Callithrix jacchus: one gene and its partner. The protein of the gene in region 1 interacts with the protein of each later gene in a biochemical or structural test. Links are inferred from orthologs where the notes say so. Each region holds a gene or a part of one and is shown on either strand. Other genes may lie near its edges.

The links. The genes of interacting proteins can lie anywhere in the genome.
Region 2: the proteins of ATP7B (region 1) and ATOX1 form a complex in vitro, tested with the Homo sapiens proteins (3 studies listed by BioGRID and IntAct). The link is inferred for Callithrix jacchus from reciprocal best matches to the Homo sapiens genes ATP7B and ATOX1.

What each region holds. Positions count from the first base shown.
Region 1 is NC_133502.1:63,899,230-63,906,634, forward strand, and holds part of ATP7B (copper-transporting ATPase 2), read right to left. Parts: intron 7,234-7,405; coding exon 7,071-7,233; intron 6,066-7,070; coding exon 6,039-6,065; intron 5,925-6,038; coding exon 5,781-5,924; intron 4,226-5,780; coding exon 4,083-4,225; intron 2,711-4,082; coding exon 2,507-2,710; intron 2,425-2,506; coding exon 2,307-2,424; intron 466-2,306; coding exon 363-465; intron 1-362. UniProt on the Homo sapiens protein: Copper ion transmembrane transporter involved in the export of copper out of the cells. It is involved in copper homeostasis in the liver, where it ensures the efflux of copper from hepatocytes into the bile in response to copper overload.
Region 2 is NC_133503.1:50,694,932-50,701,920, forward strand, and holds part of ATOX1 (copper transport protein ATOX1), read right to left. Parts: intron 1,991-6,989; coding exon 1,866-1,990; 3' UTR 1,820-1,865; intron 1-1,819. UniProt on the Homo sapiens protein: Binds and deliver cytosolic copper to the copper ATPase proteins. May be important in cellular antioxidant defense.

The sequences.
Region 1 (7,405 bases):
GCAAATGCTTTATGCTGCCACTAACTTTAGTTAAATGAATGGACTCATAAATAAGTGAACATCTTGTTTAAAGGAAACAATGATAGATAATACACAGGGACCCATGTCTGCATGATGTTCACATAACAGCCCTTGAGCGGCAGAGTAAGGGCAGCCTGGCATGAGGCTGCACAGCAGTGAACTGCCTGCTCAGGGTGCTAAGTCACACGCACACACACCTGGCTCCATGTGGGCTGCCACTGCAGCATTTATCCCAGGCAAATGAATGGGGAGTGAGAGGCAAGACCCACTGTGCCTTGAGCATGCAGAGTGACAGAGCCTCCTGGGAGCCTCTCACAGATGCCCCACCTGCAGGGACTCACCACTTGAGCTGCAGGGATGAGAGCACCACAGACACGGAGGAGGCTGCCATGGCTGCCGAGCCCATCCAGGGCTGCAGCACAATGCCGATGGGCATGAAGACACCTGGGGAAGAAAGAACTCACACTCACACCTAGGCCTGGGAGAGGAGCCAGGAGAGGGCCTCCAGCACCAGGCTAGCCCCACCCTCAGTGGCCCCCTTGGAGGTCTCCTCCTGGCATGCTTGGAAGCACCTGCTGATGGGTCTTGCCTATAGGTCCCCAAAGCGAGGCTTCCTAGAAAGATGGGTGTGGGGTGCTGTCGAGTGGGCCTGACTCTCTTCTACTCGCCCTCATGTTCCCAGAACCACACACAGATGGCATCCCATTTCAGGGCCAGCTCCACAGGAGTGGCAAAGCACAGGGAGTGGGAGGGGCGGGGGAGGAGAAAAGTGGCAGGAGGTGAGGGAGCCAGTAGCCCATCCTGCAGCCATAGTCCCGCAGAGGATAATCACGGCTGAAGGCCACAGCCCTTGTCTAGAAGATAATGTTGACTCCAGGGCTTCGTAACATCTTCAAGAGAAGAATGAGAGCTGGGTTCCAGGACAGGGTCAGGAGACAGGTATGGTCAATTTTGCATGGCAGAGGCACACACACTGGGGGAATGAAGCTCCTGAGCTGGCTCTAGGGACAGGAAATAAACCTGCCTGACTGACTCACTGGGCTCAGGAGGCCAAGGCCCAGTTATACACATCATCACTAACCACTCAGACACAAGGGAAACCCAGGCAGGAATGCTGAGTTTACAAACTTGATCTCTCTTAAGCCCATGGAGGAGCACTGCCTTGCAGAAGGGTCTGGAAGTTTTCCCTGCCATATTCCATGGAATAGAGGGCAGGAGAGAGGCGGTTGCTGGGGAGGGGGAAGGAGGAGGAATTACAAAGCAGAAAAATCCATTTATTTTCCTTTTTTCTTTTCCTGAGAGTTTCACTCGTGCCCGGGCTAGAGCGCAGTGGTGTGATCATGGCTCACTGCCACCTCCAGCTCCTGGACGCAATACATCCTCCTGCCGCAACCTCTGTACTCCCAGATGGGACTAAGGTATATGCTACCATGCCCAGCTAATTTTAAAATGTTATGTAAAGGGAGACTCTATGTTGCCCAGGCGGGTCTTGAACTCCTGAGCTCAAGTGATCCTCCTGCCTTAGCCTCCCAAAGTGTTGGGATTACAGGCATGAGACAGCATGCCTGGACAAAAAGCCATTTCTTTCCATGATCATCTGTATAAATCAGAGTGAAACTGGGCAGGATTAGTGTCCAATATAAGGTTCTGAAACACCAGCAATTGTGCCTAACATGGTTGGGTGTGGTGGCTCACACCTGTAATCACAGCACCTTGCAAAGACAAGGCTGGCGGATCATCTGAGGTCAGGAGCTCAAGCCTGGCCAACATGGTGAAACCCCATCTCTACTAAAAATACAAAACTTAGCTGGGCATGGTGGCACATGCCTGTAATTCTAGCCACTTGGGAGCCTGAGGCAGGAGTATTGCTTGAACTGAGGAGGTGGAGGTTGCAGTGAGACAAGATTGTGCCACTGCACTCCAGGCTGGGCGACAAGAGTGACACTCCATCTCAAAAAAAAATGCTCCTAGCATGTAGCAGGTGCCTCATAATTCTTACTAATGATGAATTCTCAGACTATATGTCTTAACAAATGGTTCAAAAACATACCCAAGCATCTCCACTAGCTTTTTAGAAAGGATCAGAGTGGATGAAGGCTTTGGGTCCTCTCAGCACTTTCTCATTTACCTTTAGAGACATATAAAGCAGGGGACATAACAAAACCAGCCTTTCTAAAACGCCTCTAGCCAGCCAGTGAGTAAGCCACTCACTAACCTCAGCAGGAACCCAGGAGGGAGAAGCCTTTCTGGGCACAGCTGAAGCACAGTAGTTAAGAGCTGCCTACCTGCCGCAATGGGTATCCCAACCAGGTTATAAATCAGTGCCAGGACCAGGTTGATGCGTATCCTCCGGACAGTCCTCTTGGAAAGGTGAATGCTAGCCACCACATCCAGCAAATCATTCTAAGGGAGAGGAGCACGCGGTGAGGAAGGGGTCTGCCCATCGCCCTCCCAGCTCCCACAGCCTGGCTACAGCTGTGCTCACTCTAATGAGGACGACGTCGGCTGCCTCAATGGCCACATCTGTGCCAGTGCCGATGGCGACACCCATGTCTGCCTGGGCCAAGGCCGGAGAGTCATTCACCCCGTCTCCCACCATGGCGACTTTCTTCCCTTTGTTCTGAAGCTCCTGGACCTTGGCCACCTTGTGGGAAGGCAGCACCTCTGCAAAGACTTTGTTGATGCCAACCTAAGAGGAAAGGAAGGCAACGCCTGGTGTTGGCAAAAGGTATCGAACTGCAGCAGAAACCCCAAGTTACCCTTGCCCCCTCTGCCCCTGGGTCCAGTCAGTGATGTTGGTCAACTATACCCTGCAGGTTTGCTGTCATAAGGCCACCTTCTCCCTGGCTCCTGCCCCAACACCCTATACTGGTTTAGGACCCGTCCTTTCCTGGATGTGCAAACAGCCCCCTTGCTGTTCTCCCTGTCCACCGCTTAGTCCCCCAACTCTCTTATCCATGTGCTGCCTCCACAGTCTTCCCAAAGCAACTGTGTGGCCAAGTCCCTACTCTCCTGCCTCACATCCTCCAGAGGACCCCACGCACTCCCAGAGGAGGGCAGCTCAACTCTCTGGGGTCTGCTTCCGAGGCCCCCAGGGTCCCAGGGTCTGGCCTCTGCCTGACGGCCTGCAGCTGGTGTCACACTCAACCACACCATTCAGCTCCCCGCAGCATCTCCAATCACCTTGCTACTCTGTGCCCCTGGGAAATGCTCCTGCTGCTGGTTGTGTCCTGGAAGGTGCAGTTTCCCTTTCCTAGTCCCTCTCCCGCTTCTCAGCTCTATGCCCTGTCCCTGGTCCACCTTTCCATAGGACCATAAGCCCCTCAAGCGCAGAGCCCCTTTCACTCCTCACAGAGCCTGGCCCCACACCTGACTGTCACATTTGTGGTATTTTGTAAGTGTCCGCTGAACAGATGAACAAGTGTTAGCCAGGAAATGGGGGATGGACACTCAATAGGTCCATTGTTAGCAAGGAGGACCACGGAAAACAGGGGTCCTGATTTTTCCCTCATGGACATAATGAGGCTTTCAGATGACTAGAGCTCTGCACGCATTTGGAGGGGTGTAATTTCTAGGAATCTAAACTGGAGCCACTGCTATGTGGGGAGCCAGGCAGCCCTCCAGTGGTGCTGTGCTCACAGCCCAAACTCAGCACCAAGGGCTGCTGGAGAACTGCCCAGGACCAAGTCACTTATCTGGGCACCCCAGTGAGAAAAGCTGAGCTGGCAAAATCTTCCCTTAACATAAAAATTAGAAAATGTCTATCTTAGCCCTTAAGCCACAAACTTTTTTTCCATCACGAAGACTAGAAGAAGGTTAGAGAACAGCAGAATTCCTTTTTCTAGGATGCATGCGCTCAGGCCCCAGGGATAAGATCTCTGCACAGCAGCACAGCACTCGTGGAACACTGCACAGCCACAGAATGATGCACGTGGAGAGAAAAGCACCCAGTGAAGGGGAAAGAGCAGGAGTACTGCTGAGCGCTGGGCCAACTGGTGCTTACTTTTGCCTCTAACTGCTACTATGAGCTTTACACAGTTTGCAACATTAAAGGGCTGTACCTGGGTGGCAATGGCTCTGGCTGTCTTCCGGTTGTCCCCCGTGATCAGAACCACATCTACACCCATGCTCTGCAGCGTGTGCACAGCCAAGGCGGCCTCCTGCTTGACAGCATCTGCTATAGCAATCATCCCACAGAGCACACCTGGAGCAAACCAGCCAGCATCAGCAGCTACACAGGATAGGGCACCCCGCACGGAGCTACCATACTTGCAATGTTCTCATCATACAGTGTTATGTGCAAAAAACAAACACCAGATTATATATAATAATACCATGGGGTTTTCTAGCTTTTTAAAAAGTACACACATTTTACAGACACACACAAGAGTCTAGAAGCAATATAATTAAAATCTTTGCAGTGGCGCCCTGAAGAAGAGGATTATGAGTAATTTCATTTTCTTCTTTATAGCTGAATTTTCCAAACTTTCTGCAAGGAGAATGGATGACATTTTGCAAGGTGCCGGGCTTGAAATAAGAATTCAATACACATTAGCTACTAAAATTTGAGAAATATAACAGATGTCACTTAAAGTGGTAACTGTCCAAACTAGAAAATCAATCCTTCATTTGCCTTTTCCTACAGAAAACATTTCTGCAGCATTTTGCTTTTAGTGTATCTTTTTAGTTATAGAAGCAGGGGGGCTCTTAGGGCTGAGGTGTAAATGAGAACAGAGTGAGGGATGACATATGAGAGGGCACGACTCCTTTAGTTGTGCCAATTCTGGTTTGACAGCTGAGAGGACTTTATAAAGACTTGGAAAAAATTGAAAAAAAAAAAAAAAAAAAAAGAGAATGTGAGAGGAAGACATATTTGGCTGAAGCATTCAAAACGTGGTGTCATAAGTTTTATTTCTTGCTTGCATATACTGTTACTTCTATTAGCAGAAACTTATATTAACAAAGTAAAGACTCTACTCTCTCTGGTATGTAAAGCCCAGGATAGAATCTGAGCACTAAAACACATGCAGTCTTGAGACCTGTACTCTGTGCACAACCAGTCTGTATAAAGCACAGACAGAAGGGCCGTACATGGTGGCTCACACCTGTAATCCCAGCACTTTAGGAAGCCGGGGTGGGCAGATCACCTAAGGTCAGGAGTTTCAGATCAGCCTGGTGAAACCCCATCTCTACTAAAAATACAAAAATTAGCCAGGCATGCTGGCAGGTGCCTGTAATCTCTGCTACTCAGGAGGCTGCAGCAGGAGAATCACTTGAACCCAGGAGGTGGAGGTTGCAGTAAGCCGAGATTGTACCACTGCACTCCAGCCTTGGTGACAAGAGCAAAACTTGGCCTAATAATAATAATAATTAATAAATAAAGTAGATAGAGAAGAGCAGCATGGATCTCATTATTTAAAGGTGTCCTGTAGTTAAACCTGTTTCCTGCTCTGTCTACAGGGATGAATGAGAAGGATGACTCTGAACTGCCCACCTGGACAAGAGCAACAATGATAACAAAGACAGTTTAGAATTCCAAGGTCAAGAAGACTGAGGCCAGACCACAGCTGGCTCTGGGGCCAAGATGGAGACCGTGGGAAAGAACGAAAAGACAAAAAGACAATCTTTTTGAAGACGTGAAATTAAAGAGAGGAAGGTTTTTGTTTTTCATTTCTTTTTTAAAGGAGGACTCTTTTGCCAGATATCTGCAGAAAACTGCATTTCTGAGAGAGCGGAAGGAAGGCAGAAGCAGGAGATACCATCAATAGCCACCAGGATGGCCGTCTGTCCTTTCATCTCGTGGTCTGTCATAGCGTCACTGACATCGTTGGAAATGGTTAAGCCGTTGCGCCTCAGCCATTCGCGGTTTCCAATCAGCACAGAGAAGGTCTGGGGGGCTGCATCTATTCAAAAGAGGCTGTGGTTATTCCTAAATAGTCCAATTTCACTATAAACTAAAAACCATGTAATCCTTTTAATAGCAAAATATCCATTTAGCCATTCTGAAAAACTGTTACCTAGTAAGCACCTCCTGTGACAGCATCCTTTAGGACAAGAAAAAAAGTAAAATTAATTTGTAGGACATGTGGGTATGAATTAAGATGGGGCATTAATAGTACATGCTATATGGGTGGAAACGGTATAAACATACTAAACATAAGGCAACGTCCGTCTCTGTCTTAGAGGTATCCACTGATTCTTTTTCTGCAGGGATTAGAAGCACTTATTTATTTCCCCAGCACCCAAAGCAAGTGTTGACGATGTTCATTACTGCTTGGTATCGATGACCCCACGTGAATCAACAAATAATCAGACAAGTCTATATGAAATGTTTAAAACTGCAACTCCTGAGGCTGATGCATCTCTTACCTGTCACTTTCTAACAGTGTGTGCTGCTAACTGAGGTGTCACTGCACAGCCAGGCTCTCATGGAAAGGCCATCCCTGGGTTTTAAACGGCTGGAAGGTGGTGGATGGCTTACAACCACACAATCTAAGTCACAATTTCACTACCAACACTTAGGAAAAACACTGGTCATGGGTTTTGTTTTCTACCTTTTATGCTGGTGGCTGACAAGCTACTTTGAGAATAAGAAAGGCCATCCTTCAGAAGCAGTTGTCCCTCCAAGCAGTGTCCCTTCCTGGCTTGGGCAGACCATTTCCCTCTGCTTTCCCTGACATTTTCTACCAGTTCTGTAAATACCATCAGAGTTCTACCACACAGGATGGAAACAGGAAGAACAAAAGGAGAATTCCCCACCTGCCTACCCTGTAGCTTATGAGAAGCAAGACCAATTTGGGATAAGAAACAGGAGAATCAAAATCATGGATCAGCTAAGCAATGCTCCATGAATTTAAGGCAGCCATAAGCATCAGAATTCAGATGCATCCAAGAACATGAGAGAAAATGCAGGCTTTCCTGGGGGTGGGGAGGCCGGCATGGGTGCCTCAGCCATGAACCGTCTGTCGCATCACTGCTAGGTGCGGGACTCTCTGTGATTTGACCCACCTCTACATTGACCCAACAGCAGAGACAAAGGCCAGCAATACCTTTTCCTTCGGAAAGGCTGCCAGCCTCATTCAGGTGACTGGCACTCGGAGGGTGTCCACCGTGGGCCAGGATGCCTTCCACGTTGCTGACTTTGCACCCGATTCCACAGCCTGGCACTGCCTGGAAGTCTGTGCAGTATCCCAAGGTCTCTGTTCCAAGTTCCTATGAAGGTGGAAAGAGAGGGAGAAGAAACTGTAAGCCGTGAGGGGTGAAGTGAGAGGGAGGCAGGCAGGACAGGGACACGGGTGAAGGTGGCAAGAGAGCCGCAGAAAGTGGGAACTGATAGGAGGGGAGGGAAGTGGGATGGATGAGAAAGGTTAAGACAGAGACTAGT
Region 2 (6,989 bases), on another chromosome or scaffold:
CTCATGCCCATAATCCCACTTTGAGAGGCTGAGGGGGGTGGATCACAAGGCCAGTTTGAGACCAGCCTGGCCAGATGGTGAAACTCCATCTCTACTAAAAATACAAAAATTAGCCTGGCACAGTGGCAGGTGCCTGTAATCCCAGCTACTCATGAGGCTGATAATCGCTTGAACCCGGGAGGCAGACGTTGCAGCGAGCGAAGATCGTATCACTGCACTTTAGCCTGGGCAACAGAGCAAGACTCTGCCTCAAAAAAAAAAAAAAAAAAAAGAGGGCCGGGCGCAGTGGCTCACACCTGTAATCCAGCACTTGGGAGGCCAAGGCGGGTGGATCACGAGGTCAAGAGATCAAGACCATCCTGGTCAACATGGTGAAACCTTGTCTCTACTAAAAATACAAAAAATTAGCTGGGCATAGTGGCGCGTGCCTGTAATCCCCAGCTACTCAGGAGGCTGAGGCAGGAGAATTGCCTGAACCCAGGAGGTGGAGGTTGTGGTGAGCCGAGATTGCGCCACTGCACTCCAGTCTGGGTAACAAGAGCAAAACTCCATCTCAAAAAAAAAAAAAAAGAATTCTGGATTCCTTATTATTCATCCTGGGCTCATTCCTGCACATGGGTTCTAGCTATGGATGAAAAGTGCATGACAAAAACAGATGCCTGTGACATCTTGTGACTTGCATTTGATGTCACCACATACACAGAGCACTGCTGTGGCTCAGGTTCCAAATGTACACCTTTGGGAAGGAACTATCAGTCAGCTGTGGCTGGCTCCTATCTGGAGGGTCTCCAGGACCCATTCACAGGGACAATGCCACCAGTAACAGTTACAGAAATCCAATTCAGGATATCTGACTGTCCTCCTGCCTTTGCCACTCACCTGGGTGGGGCTTTGGTTGAATCACTTTCCCTCTCTTGGCCTCATTTTTCTCAATCACAGTCAGGGCACTAAGTCACATCAGGGATGTGGCGATCATTGTAGTTCACAAGTCAAAGACACTACAGGGGCAGTGGCAGCTGGGAGGGCCCTGCTGAGACTGTGGCTGAATCAATGAATAAGGTGTGTCTGGTTCCAGAGTGAAGAGTGCTGGCACAGTGCCCCTTACTGCCTCACTGGATTACATAAAAGTGAAGGGAACATCTAGCTCAGATATGCTATTGTTTTTGTACCAGGCTGGAAGGAGGGCATGTGCAGGAAGCTGACAACAGTTTCAAGTAGAGAGAGTGGCACAGTCTGAATTAACTCACTTGGTCAGGGTACAAGAGAACAAGGCCCAAGGCAAAAGTGTCAACTCTGATGAGATAGTCAGTTTATCAAAGCCAGAGCCATGCATGGTGATATGTGCCTGTAGTTCCAGCTACTTAGAAAGCTGGGGCAGGAGGATGACTTGAGCCCAGGAGTTAAAGTATACAGTGCACTGTGATCACACCTATGAAGAGCTACTGCCCTCCAGCCTGGGCCACAGAGTGAAACACTGTCTCAAAGAAACAAACAAATCAAGAAGCCAAAGGTGCATTGCTTAGGGTCATATACTATAAACTTAAACCCTGCTAACCATGAAATGCAACCCCCACATCCTAAAGAGGACTCTGGGAGACATTACACAGTGCTCTGTCCAATGACAGGGGCTGTAAGGATTCCCTGAACTTGTGATTTGCATTAGACATATATTTGTAACCACTCCAAAGAAAGTGGACAGTGGATTGAAAAGAACCCGGGGGCTCTCCTGCTCCACTCAAGCTCTCAAAGGCCAAGGTGTTAACTCTGATGAGAAGTGTGAGCAGCAGGTTTGTTCAGCAAGTGCTGGAGCCTCACCCACCTGCCCCCTTTGGTCCATCCTGCGGGCTGTGGGGACCAGGTCCCTGCTACTCGAGGCCAAGGTAGGACACAGTCTTTCCTGTTTTCTTCAGGGTTGCAAGCAGAGTGTCCATGCTGTGCTCAGATTCAATGCAGACCTTCTTGTTAGGCAGGTCAATGTCATACTTAACTCCTGCAGGAAGAGGAAACAGGGTGTGGGGAAAGGGAGCAGAGACCCTCCCAGTTACAGCAAGAAAGAGTTCAGGCTCTAAATTACTACTCACAACTACCCCTTCCCTTTTCTCTAGAGCAGGGATTGGCAAACTTCTTCTGTAACGGACCAGGAGGTAAATGTTTTGGGCATTGTGGGCCACATATGCACTCTGTTGTATATTGTTTTATTTATTTATTTATTTTATTTATTTTTGAGACAGAGTCTCACTCTGTTGCCCAGGCTGGAGTGCAGTGGCATGATCTCAGCTCAATGAAACCTCCACCTCCCAGGTTCAAGAGATTCTCCTGCCTCAGCCTCCCAAGTAGCAGGGATTATAGGCACCCACCACTAGAACAGGCTAATTTTTGTATTTTTAGTTGAGACGAGGTTTCACCATGTTGGCCAGGCTGGTCTAATGCCTCAGCCTCACAAAGTGCTAGGATTACAGACGTGAGCCACCACACCCAGCCATTCTGTCTGTTTTTATAATTCCATTCTTGAACGTACAAAAATAGGCTGTGAGTAGGATTTGGTCCATGGGCTGTAGTGTGTTAATCCCTGCTCTATACTAGGGCTTTTTGAGACACAGACACACTCTACTGCCCAAGCTGGAATGCAGTGGTACGATCTCAGCTCACTGCAACCTCCACCTCCTGGGTATAAGTGATTTTTGTGCCTTAGCTTCCAGAGTAACTAGAATTACAGGTATATGCTACCACACCTGGCAAATTTTTGTATTTTTAGTAGAGTCAAGGTTTAGTCATGTTGGCTAGGCTAGTCTCGAACTCCTAACCTCAAGTGATCTGCTCGCCTTGGCCTCCTAAAGCGCTGGGATTACAGGCATGAGCCACTGCACCCAGCCAATTTTTTTTTTCAAAAAAGCAAACATTTCTAAATATATGTAGAAGCAGTAAGGCCCCCTACTGATCCTACCCCCAGAGATCACTGTGAAAAGTACGGCTTCTATTCAGACTATCACAGATAGACAAATGAAAAATAACTCTTCCAAATGGTATCACATTGTATAAACCGGTCTTGCTAATATTTTACTTTTCTTTTTCTTCATTAATTTTAATTTTTTTTTTTTGAGACAGGGTATCACTGTGTTATCCAGGCTGGAGTACAGTGGCACATTCACAAATCACTGCAACCTCGAACACCCAGGCTCACGTGATCCTCCCGTCTCAGCCTCCCAAGTTGCTGTAACTACAGGCACATGCCACCATGCCTGGTTAAGTTTTGTATTTTATGTAGAGACAGAGTTTTACATATTGTCCAGGCTGGTCTTGAACTTCTGGGCTCAAGCGATCTACCTGCCTCAGCTTCCCATAGTGCTGGGACTACAGGTGTGAGCCACTGTAGCTGGCCCATTCTTTTTTTTTTTTGAGACAGTCTCATTTTGTCGTCCAGGTGGGAGCGCAGTGGGGTGATCTCAGCTCACTGCTGCAGCCTCTGCCTCCCGGGTTCAAGTGATTCTCTTGCCTCAGCCTCCTGAGTAGCTGGGATTACAGGCATGAGCCACTGCACCCAACCCCATTCTTTTATCAAAAGCTACAATCTTCCATAGTGTGGATGTACCACACATCTACTTAATTAATCCACTGCTAAAGGTCACTGAGGATGCTTCTAAGTTTCACCACTATCACAATAATGTTATAGTAAACATACCTGAACTTGTCTTAAAAAATTTATAAAAATATTTTTATACCATGGATTCACAGAATGGAAATTGTGGGGCAACAGATGTTTGGCACATTTTTAATGTTTAATAGACATTGCAAAATCACTCTCCTAAATGTATATGCCAATTTAAAGCTCCCCAGCAGCCTATGGGAGGAATTAGAGTTTTATTCTGACAAAACAGTGCAGAAAGAAAGGGAAACTCAACAGGTTGTAGGCCTGGCCCCACAGTTGACTTGCTGGGTGACCACGGGGTGATGGCGGGTCCTGCTTCTTACAGGCCTCAGCTACCTCATCTGTATATGAAGGAGTCAGGGCTGGCCAGCTCCTGTGGTCTTTCCAGCTCAAGGATGCCACTAGTCTGTGACTCCTCAGCCCTAGCATCGTTCTTTTAGGGTCCTAAGCAACTCAGAAAACCCTCCTGACCCTTCTCAAGAGGTCACACAAAAGGGGACAGTAGGAAAAGATGGGGACAAAAGATGACGCTGAAGCTCAAAGGCAGATCCTCCAGCAAGGGACCTTAAAAATCATATGGTTGGCTGGGCATGGTGGCTCATGCCTTTAATCACAGCACTTTGGGAGGCTGAGGTGGGTGGATTACCTGAGGTTAGGAATTCAAGACCAGCCTGGCTAACATGGTGAAACTCTGTCTCTACTAAAAATACAAAAATTAGCTCAGTGTGGTGGCATGTGGCTGTAATCCCAGCTACTCGGGAGGGTAAGGCAGGAGAGTCGCTTGAACTTGGGAGGTGGAGGTTGCAGTGAGCCGAGATTGTGCCATTGCACTCCAGCCTGGGCAACAAGAGTGAAACTCTGTCTCAAAAGAAAAAAAAAAAAATCAGCCAGGCTTGGTGGTGGGCACCTTTAATCCCAGCTACTCAGGAGGTTGAGGCAAGAGAATTGTTTGAGCCTGGCATGGGGCGGGAACACAGGTTGCAGTGAGCCGAGGTTGCACCACTTCACTCTAGCCTGGGCAACAGATCGAAACTCCATCTCAGAAAAAAAAAAAAAAGCATCAACAGCAAAAGCTGATACAGATATACAAGATATAATTCCCATACTACAGCTGGGGAAACCCAGGCCTAAGGAAGAAGAGCCCACAGTCACGTAGCAAGTCAGCAGCCAGGTTTTTTCCACTGCCTCAGGTTCTTTCATATTAAGATCCCAGTTCACAGGGCTAGAGGCCAACCACTGACTCACTGTGGGACTCTGGGCAAGTCACTTCCCCTCCTGAGCACTGGCCTCAATATCCCCATTCCAAAGATGGAAAGTACAGCTCAGAGGACTGCTAATAAGATCACATCCATGTGGAAGCCATTTGAAAACTTAATATCATTATTATTTACGGTTTAAAAAATTTTTTTTAGAAAATTTTGTGATAGTTCATGTCAAGGAGAAAGAAAAGGAAAAAATCTGAGAAAGGCTGACTGAGTGCAGGCACTGCCAAAACTCTGATCACAACTCAATTATTACCTCATTCAGCCCCAGGGCCAGATCCCAGCCCTCTCTGGGCCTCAGTTTCCCCAGCTCTGAAATGACAAGGCTAGATGAGAATGGCTGTTCAAAAGAGGTGCTTTAAGAATATCTACAGGGCCAGGCACGGTGGCTCATGCCTATAATCCTAGCATTTTGGGAGGCAAAGGCAGGTGGATCACTTGAGATCAGCAGCCCAAGACCAGCCCAGCCAACACAGTGAAACCATGTCTCTATGAAAAATACAAAAATTAGCTGAAAATCATCTGAACCCATGAGGCAGAGGTTACATCGAGCCGAGATCACCCCAATGGACTCTAGCCTGGGCAACAGAGCAAGACTCCATCTCAAAAAAAAAAAAAAAAATCTGCATGTGAGTGATTCAAAATTAATTAAAAACTTTTTTTTTGAAGTAAAGAGAAAAGGACAAAATTTTAAAAATTGTTATCGTTTTAAAAAATCTCTCTTTTTTCTTGGATACAGGTCTTGCTAACTGCAGCCTCAAACTCCCGGGCTGAAGTGATCCTCCCACCTCGGCCCCACACAGTAACTGGAAGGACAGGCATGTGCCACCATGCCTGCCTAATTCTTTTGCTATTTTTTGTAGAGATGTGGTTTTACCATGTTTCCCAGGCTGGTCTCAAGAACTCCTGAGCTCAGGCAAACTGCACACCTCAGCCTTCCAAAAAATGCTGGGATCACAGGTGTGAGCCACTGTGCCCAGCCCCATTTAAAAAAATCTTAACATAGGTCAGACACAGTGGCTCATGCCTATAATCCCAGCACTCTGGGAGGCCAAGGTGGGCAGATCACCTCAGGTTGGGAGTTCGAGACCAGCCTGACCAACATGGAAAAACCCTCTCTCTACTAAATATACAAAATTAGCTGGGTGTAGTGACACATGCCTGTAATCCCTACTTGGGAGGCTGAGGCAGGAGAATCACTTGAACCCAGGAGGCGGAGGCTGCAGTGAGCTGAGGTTGCAGTGAGCTGAGATCACACCATTACACTCTAGGCTGGGTAAGAAGAGCAAAACTCTGTCTCCCCCGCCCCCCCGCCCCCTGCATAAAAGCACTTTTTTTTTTTTTTTTTTTTTGTATTTTTAGTAGAGACAGGGTATCACCATGTTGGTCAGGCTGGTCTTGAACTCCTGACCTAGTGATCAACCAACCTCGGCCTCCCAAAGTGCTGGGATTATAGGTGTGAGCCACCATGCCCAGTCCAAAAAAAAAAAAAAAAATGTTAATAGAAAATGACACTCAGATGTGCCATGCAGTACACACTGGAGATGACCAACATTTTTTTTTTTTTGAGATGGAGTTTTGCTGTTGTTACCCAGACTGGAGTGCAATGGCGTGACCTTGGCTCACCGCAACCTCCGCCTTCTGGGTTCAAGCAATTCTCCTGCCTCAGCCTCCTGAGTAGCTGGGATTACAGGCACGCGCCACCATGCCCAGCTAATTTTTTTGTATTTTGAGTAGAGACGGGGTTTCAACATGTTGACCAGAATGGTCTCGATCTCTTGACCTCGTGATCCACCCACCTCGGCCTCCCAAAGTGCTGGGATTACAGGCTTGAGCCACTGCGCCCGGCCGATGACCAACATTTTAACTAGTACTGCCATGGCTCCAGAGCGAGTTCTGGCAGTACTAGTTAATTTGGCTAAATCCCAACTCTGCCATTTACTGGTCATGTGATCCCAGATAAGTTACTTAACCTCTCTGAACTTCAGCTGTCTCCTGTTTAACATGGAGCTAGTCAGAAAAGCTATCTGAAATGGCTGTGGTGAGGATTAAACTATGTGATCCACATTAGCCACTCATAA